2 linked regions of the Ovis aries genome follow. The protein of the gene in region 2 purifies or fractionates together with the protein of the main gene of each other region. This does not show direct contact. Links are inferred from orthologs where the notes say so. Each region holds a gene or a part of one and is shown on either strand. Other genes may lie near its edges.

Evidence for each region.
Region 1: the proteins of CDH8 (region 2) and CTNNB1 purify together in Homo sapiens (co-immunoprecipitation; 3 studies listed by BioGRID and IntAct, counting the BioPlex papers as one, with this or other methods). This does not show direct contact. The link is inferred for Ovis aries from reciprocal best matches to the Homo sapiens genes CDH8 and CTNNB1.

Annotation. Positions count from the first base shown.
Region 1 is NC_056072.1:13,821,472-13,825,375, forward strand, and holds the start of CTNNB1 (catenin beta-1), read left to right. Parts: upstream 1-1,408; 5' UTR 1,409-1,574; intron 1,575-2,042; exon of another isoform or gene 2,043-2,132; intron 2,133-3,904. UniProt on the Homo sapiens protein: Key downstream component of the canonical Wnt signaling pathway.
Region 2 is NC_056067.1:29,343,133-29,347,036, forward strand, and holds the start of CDH8 (cadherin-8), read right to left. Parts: upstream 2,440-3,904; 5' UTR 2,079-2,439; intron 1-2,078. UniProt on the Homo sapiens protein: Cadherins are calcium-dependent cell adhesion proteins. They preferentially interact with themselves in a homophilic manner in connecting cells; cadherins may thus contribute to the sorting of heterogeneous cell types.

The sequences.
Region 1 (3,904 bases), on a different chromosome or scaffold from region 2:
GAATGAGAGGGTTTCCTGCCGTACCTATGTATAAAGACCTATTGTTTGCATGCATTAATTACAAAGATAAAAGCCTCAAGATAACTTTCACTGTTGCTTTTTGTACTCTCTCCATTGTTTTGGAGGAAAAATAAGCATCCAACAATAGACTAGAGAAAGTGAATCGATCATAATTGTTTCAGCTTTGACAAACACCAAACCTGCTGATTACAATGGAGACATTTCCAAGGGAAAACAAGACCCAACTTCAGCCTATTCAAACGAATTAAAAAATTTTTTTGAAGAATAGAAAATGAGTTTTAAAAAATTAGAAGCTGCTTAATGGATAGCTCTTTCCATGAACAACGAACTTGGATTTCTCAAAGAAGTAATACCCTAGAAATAAACTTAGAATGAAAGAAAAATCCACCACCACCCCCAATATACTGATACTTAGTAGCAAAGTGGAACCAGTTAAAAATGGAAACTGTAAGAATTAACCTAATTGGCAGGGCTGTGGAGCTAGTCCATGTCTATCAGTCATTTGTTCAGTTAGGGACTCCTAAGGACTTGTTGAATTGCGGGCTAGGCGCCTATCCTAACGAGAGTTCGCAGCCTTCACGAGCGGGGAAAGCCGGCGGCTCGGCCGGGTGCTTCATTCCCAGATTCAAGATGAACAGCCGGTAGGGATGCGAGATCCACGACCTGGACCGTGGGGGGCTCTGAGGTGATGTGCGGCTTGGCTGCGAGCCAAGTCCTGCAGAGAGCTTGGGGCCCAGACTGCAACGGCAGCGGAAGCACGAACGCGCCGGGGTCCCCTGACCGGGAGCAGGGCGGCGGCGGCGTCCGGCAGAGTCCAGAGCGGGTGGGCCCAGACCTCAGCTCCGGCATTGCCGCCGCCACCTCGGCCCTGAACTTTCACCCCCCAGGGACGTGTGCCGCCTGCCCCGCAGGGCCGGGGTCCCGATGCCGCCTCCCGCCGGTAGCCGGCAGCGCGCAGCCAGCCTCGCATCTGTTCTCATGGCCCGGGGCATGCGCGAGGCCGGGGCGTCGGGCTCGGGACAGTGGAGAATACCGGTGTCGCCCTCCCTCCAGCCCACCCCGGCTCGCGGAGACCCGCGCCTCCCTGACTCGGACTACCGCGCCCTGGCGGGCCGCCCTCCAGTCCCGCGCGGCGGGGCAGCGCCGGCCTCAACCTGGGAGAGCGCCCGCAGAGCGCGCGGGCGCCCCGCCCCTGCCCCGGGCTGGCGGACCGCGGCGGCGGCGGCGGCGGCGGCGGGCGGCTCCGCGGCGCGGGGACTACTTTCCGCCGCCCGCCCGCGCCCCGCCCCTTGTCCCCGCGCGGCGGAACGCTCCGCGCTGCGCCGCTGGCGGCAGGATACAGTGAATCCTGCGCGACTTATAAGAGCTCCTTGTGCGGCGCCATTTTAAGCCTCTCGGTCTGTGGCAGCCGCGCTAGCCCGGCCCCGGGAGCGAAGAGAGAGGGGAGGCGGAGACGGAGCAAGGTCCGAGGAGCAGCTCCGGTCCCCGTCGAGCCGCCAACGCAGGCCGAGGACGGTCGGACTCCCGCTGCGGGAGGAGCCTGTTCCCCTGAGGTGCTTGGGCGCTCCTTTCCTTACCCGTCTGGGGCTGCTCCCCTTCCCGCTTCGGAGCCAAACTTCGTCGCGGGCGCGCGGTCCCGGCGGCGGCTGGGAGCCGGACCCGGCGCAGCCCGAGGCCCCGGGGTGGGGAGCGGGGAGGGGCGTGTGGGCTGGGGGCGCCGGGGAGGCGGCAGAGGCGGACCGCGCCCGGGGGGCTGAGGGCGGCGGCCGGGCCCGGTTCCGGTCGCGCGGCTCCTTCGGGAGCCCCGGGGGTGCCGCTTTCGGGGAGGGGGCGCCGCGAGGGCGCGTCCGGGAGGTCGGGTGGCCAGCGGGGTGGGCGGGTGGGTGGAGGGGGCTGTGGTTTCCGTCCCGGGCTCAGGCCGCGGCTGAGTTTGGGGGAGGGACCCTGCGCCTCGGGATGCGCCGGGGCCGGGGTGGGGGGCGGGGTGGGGACGGGGGACTCCGCCTTCCCGGCCTCCGCGGGGAGTTGGGGTGCGGGCGCTGGGCCTGGGACGCCACGTGAGGTCCTATCTTTCGTGCTTAAGGACGAATTTTTTCGAGGGTTAATAAGAGGTTAGTGATTTTTAATGGCCTGCCGGTGTGAGTACGCTCGTTTAAATCGGAGCAACTTTAAACCTTAGAGGATCCAAACTGTTAGTGCAGACGGTGTGATGCGCCAGGAGGATTTGCACAGATAAAAATCCCTATCTTGCACCTACATTTTTTTGTACGGTGCAGGTGAGTGAAAGCGGGCGTGCTAGGGAGGTCCTGGGAAAAATAAGGGCGAGGGCGTCTGGCTTACTGTCTCTTAGCAAGTGACCCACAGGACTCAGATTGCGACTGCTTCGAGAATTGTGTGTTCCTGGAGATTCTTTATTCAAATAGTTTCACGGCAACTAAACTTGATTTTGAGAGCGCTTTCCAGCGGGGTGAATTTTCCCCTCGCTACGAAATGGCCCGCAGGAAATTCAAGCTTTGCAACTTCGTTCCGTGTTTTGTCTGGAGAGAGGACTTGGAACTGAGACTTTCAAAGTTCGCTTTTCACAGCCTCCTTCTGAGTCTACTAAACTTGAAAGCTTTGCCAGTCGGGTGTAGTTGTTTGCTTCGTTTTCTTTTCGGTGGTGGAGGGAGCATTGTCTCCTACTTTGTATCTTCCAGACATCTGTGGTCTCCCCCCACCCCCACTCCGGGTTTGTGAGTGGTGAATGAAGGGAGACTGGTCTGCTGGTATGCAGAGGTCGGCAAAAGGAAATCGAGGAGTGGTTTTAGTGAAACGAGAGCTTTGTGTCGTGAATAGTGGTGGCTTAGACTAGACAGCAGCTTGAAGAGACGGCTCGCCTTTGATAAAGTCTGGGCTGCTGTTTTTCAGATGGCTAAGTTGTAAGTATTTTGTCTGGAACTTGGGAAGCCGTTTCATTCTGTCTCTTGGTGTACATTCAGTACCTTCGGCTATCTTCCTGTTAACGTGTTTCCTTAAGAGATACTGGACATAGCTTGACTCTTTTGTTTGTTAATGTTTCTGTTTAATATCTGCTTAGATTAGTGACAAACTTGTTTGGGAGGCATTTTTTTCGGTCTGAACTAAGGCGGCTGCTACATTTATTTTATTTTTACATTCAAGCGCACGAACCTCTTGAGTTTAAAAAAAGGTGCCATTAATGTTTGCGAATATCTTTTCACGAAATTTGATTAATTTGCGTCCAGTATTCATTACTTTGACCTAGTCTTTGTTCTGAAGGCCATGTACAAGGCCCTAAAGTGATTGCAACAGTAACTTGAAAAACTTCCAGGAGCCTATTCTATAGGATTAAAGGAATGCTGAGGCTATTCAAGTCTGAAGTCCTTGAGGGGGAAATTAAAAAACTGTGCTACAAAGTTTAGTATAGCATGTAACTTAGAGTCCTTGAGGAGTTCTAGGCTTGAGATTTTCCCAGAAGCTAGAGCAGCCATTTAAAATTGCTTTCAAGAAAAACCAAATTTTAAAAGGTGACTTAAAAAAAGTAAAACATTTAGTAGTGTTCAAGTGTCAGTGTCCAGCATTTTTCTTTCGAAACATATCCTTTACCAAGATAATCGTGTAGATGATTATGTAGATTCCAATATTAAAACTGAAATCAGATTGAGCTTCTTACTGTTGCTAATGATAAATGGAATAAAATTATCCATATAAATGAAGTTGTATATTTTTCTTTTCATACACACTTCCCTCCTCCACTCCCCAAATAGGAAGAGAAAACTTGAAGTAGGCTGATTTCTCTAAGAGTGTTTTGAGATTTGGTTCTTGGGAAAGCTATATGCACACAGCCTGTTTCATTGTTGGAAGGAGTGGAAGGAAGAGCATAAGT
Region 2 (3,904 bases):
CAGAGCTCAGGGAAGTGGAAAAACATGTCTGGACAGGATGATTATGGAGAACTCCCTTTGAGGGATTAAAAAAAAAAAAGTAACCCTCAGAGAACATCCTCTAAAGTCCTCCTGGTTAAAAGAATCTCTTTACACACACACACACACACACACACACACACACACACACACGATAAAACCCCTGGAAAACCGGACACGACTGATGAAAAGCAAAAGCCAGGCAGAAATTTCAGTTGTGTTTGCCATGAACGACAGGGCTCATTTTGCATGCAGTGAGGTACAGCGGCCAGGTTGAATGGATGGAAAATCCCACTCTCGAATCTTACATAAATATCTCCTTCCAGCACATAGTTTTCCAGTTGAAAAGCTCCTATAATGAAGCCGGAGGTGACAGCCTAGGGAGGGTTGTTAACCACTGAGATGGCTGTCAGGAGTGCTGTAAAGAGGGCCGGCGCTTCCTAGGGGCCCCAGCCGCCCCCCTACCCCGTGCCTCGGATCAGTTTCGCGGTGGTACCCATTCGAGAGGGCAGGGCCAGTGCGCCTTCTCCTGCGTCCCGGTTCCCATTCTCGGCCAACAGATACTGTGAAGCCAAGGAAAGAAAGCCGGCTGATCCGCTGAGCAGCTCTGGCGCGCTAAGGGCATGGTCGAATCTTGCCTCTAAAGAGGCAACTCTGTGGAATCTTCAGGAAACGGTGGTAAAGTTGAAAGGACCCTTTCTCCCTTGCCTAATTATCAGCTCTATCCTTTAACTGGAGCTGAAGTGAGCAGCTGCCAGGGTGGTTTTCCATCACTGACTAATGCGCGTTCGCAACAATAAACAATTAATATTGTTTGATTTCTTACATGTAGCAGCTCAACCAAACTGCTGCCATCTCGGCTCGCGGAGACAAACGGCTCGTCCCGGACGTGCCGCCGGCTCTGTGCCTGCGGGGAAGGGTCTCGGGATCACGAAACTTTGAGGTTTCTGCCAGATTGGATGGGGAAGGGTCTGGGCTTGCGGAGAGGGAGAGGCACAGGAAACTGTGGATACCTGTTGGCATCCTCGTTGGCGGCGGCAGATTTTCACTGGCTCCCAGGCTTGGCTGGAGCCTGAGAGAACGGGGATCAAGTCCCTTATGAACCTGTTACGCGCTGCCAGAACCCGGGCAAGAATCCGCTTTTCCTCAGGTCCCGCGAGGGGCGCAGCCTGCCCTCCCTCCCCACCCCCCAAGGATTCGCGGATGGGGAGGAGTGAGCTGTCAGAAAGCGCAGCTCCGGGCTCTGGCGGAGCTAGGAGAGGGAGTCCGAGGGAGTCCCCGGCTCAGCTCAGGAGGCCTCTGCGAGCACAGTCTGGCGGGCTCGGAGAGAACCCTGCTTGGGTGTCTTGCCTGGATGCAGGGCTGTATCTCGGCGTCCACAGAGCCGCGGGGCCGCTAGGGAGCCCGGCAAGTTTGGAACCCGCACCGCGCTTCCCGGGGCCGGAGGAGCCACTTGTGGGAAAGCCGTGGGCTGGGGTTCTCACGGCTGAGTCGTGGCCCGCTGCCCCACTGCGGGGGTCGCCCTCCGTCTCCTCGGGATTGGGGTGGTGCGGCAAATCAGCCAGAGGGCACCCTCACCACCACCACCCCGCTCCCCTTCGCCTCCTTTCTGCTCCGGCTGGCACTTGCCTTTCAGCCGGCGGCGGGTGCTTCCCATTCACCGCACGGACCCCGCAGTGAAGGCGCGCGGCTGCAGCGGCGCCTGCCTATGTCGCGAGGCGGCGAAATCGCCAGGCGACCGCAAGAAAGGGAACCCGGCAGGAAAGCCGGAGGGGCACAGCCTGCTTGCTTCTCCCCGGGATCTGCTGTCAGAGCAGGTTGCAAAAATGGTCAGGTAAAAAACCCTGAGGTGATCCCATCAGCTGCGCATAGCAGGAAAGAAGATTTAGCTCAGCCCCACACTGGGGCTGCGAACCCACATGCACCATTCGAATGGAAGGAGGCGCGCAGGGTGCCGGAATGGGCAGGGGTATTCCTTAAAAAAAAAAAAAAAAAAAAGGTCCCTTCTGGGTCCTCGGGGCATGGATTAAAACGAGGGGTTTGGGTGGAGGATCACTCACTCTTGAGGGGCTCCGCGCGGGCGAATTTCAAGCCTCTTGGTTCACTAATGGCTGGAGGGGTTCGAGGTCTGCTCCCGAGGGCGGTGAACAGCGAGCGGTCCCCGCGCGCTGGGCAGACGCCTCCGGATCGCGTTCATGCCTCTCGGAGCGGCGGGGCTTGGTGCTGAGACGCGGGGCGGGCGCGCCGGGCTCTGAGTCTCCGCAGCCCAAAGTGCAGCTTCGCTGGGTGGACGCTACCGTCCGTGCACGAGCCGGCGACAGCAGATGAGCTCCGGGGAAGCAGGGAGATTCCAAATAGATCCACTAATTCTGGGCTGAGCGCTCCGGCGTGCAAGCCCGCCTGCCTGCCAAATGTAACTGTGAAGTGATGTGGAAAAGTGAGTCGGGTGCCTCCCCTGACGGATCTCATTGGGCAGAGCGCAGAGGCAGGTCTACCACTTGGAAATTCATGTAAGCGGGCCCCCTCCCCGCCCCCTCCCTTCCTCCCCCCACCGGCGCTCTGGCGCGCTCGCTCCTCCGTTCTCTCCCGCTACCAAGTGGGCGCACAACTTTTCGCTCCTCGCTCTCGAGCGCGCCCAGCGCGTCTCCGCCTCCGGAGCCACTAGGCGAAGATGCGCCCTTCCGTGCGGTGCGCGCCGCCCGCGGAGGGCCAGGCTCCAGGGTAAAAGGGCTGGCAGACTACAAAAGGATGCGGACGAATGTCCCCGCGAGCTTTCTCTCTGAATCTTCCCGGAGCTCTGGGGCTAGCGGGATCTTGAAAAGCGTCCCAGTGAACCACGGCTGTTTTCCTTGGGAGGAAGAGGACGCGACAGGGCAAAGGGGTGCGCGGGGGCGTCTTGTCTCCTCTTTAAGCCAAGATCCTCAGGCAGACCAAGTGGGGGTGTCGGAAGGACCAATGCGTGCTTCTCAGACGCTGTGGTTTAGAGGCACGGTGTCGCGGTCCTGTGGGTGGTGCGCATTCCTCATATCCCCAGGCTTCTACTTCTGCAGGGAGATGGGATGAGGAAGCGCAGACGGGCAGATGCAAGGGATGCATAAGTAGGTGCGAAAAAAACGAAACTTGCTTGGGAGACTGCTAGGAGAGACTGCTAGGTCTTCTCAACGTGCCCTGGCCTGCAGATCTCTCGGGCACCAGACTTCTAGCTCCTTTGCTTCCGCCCCGAGATGCGCTTTCGAATCCTTTGATGGACTCCACTCAAACGTTGAGAATCGCCTACCATGGATCAGAGCCCGTGCAAGAGGAGGATTCAGGAATCAGGAGGTCCAGATATATTTTCCTCTCATCAGTGAGGCAAACACGTAGAAATAGGCAGCTATTTTAAATAAAATTTGTGAAAATTAACATGAGCTAATCCTTATTCCTTTGTTAACTCCCCTCCACAGAACACTTAGTCCATTCTCTGTGCGCTAAGGCTGAACTTTGAGGAAGGGTTTTACTACCCGGGAACAAAGTCAAGAATGGAAGAAGAAAAAAAGGGTATGGAGAACCAGACAAGAGGTCCGTAAAGCTTGTACTATCTGACTTCAATTAATTAGAGTGAGGAGAATGAGAAAAGAGACACAATATGCTTATAATATTTATGCAATTTTGACTTTTTTTGTGTCTGTCTACCATCCCATTGAGAGATGTTGAAAAGGATGCTGACTATAGGTCTAATATCTGTTTCACATTCTAGGTGATTTAGGGAAGAAACTGAATTATTTCAGAGCAGGGAGAAGTGAAGAGATGCAGGGGGGTATTTTCCCACGAGACAGGCACTAAGTAACTGGTCTCATCTCAGACTCTGTCTGTTTACAGGGTATTCAGAAATTGGCTAATTTTATCC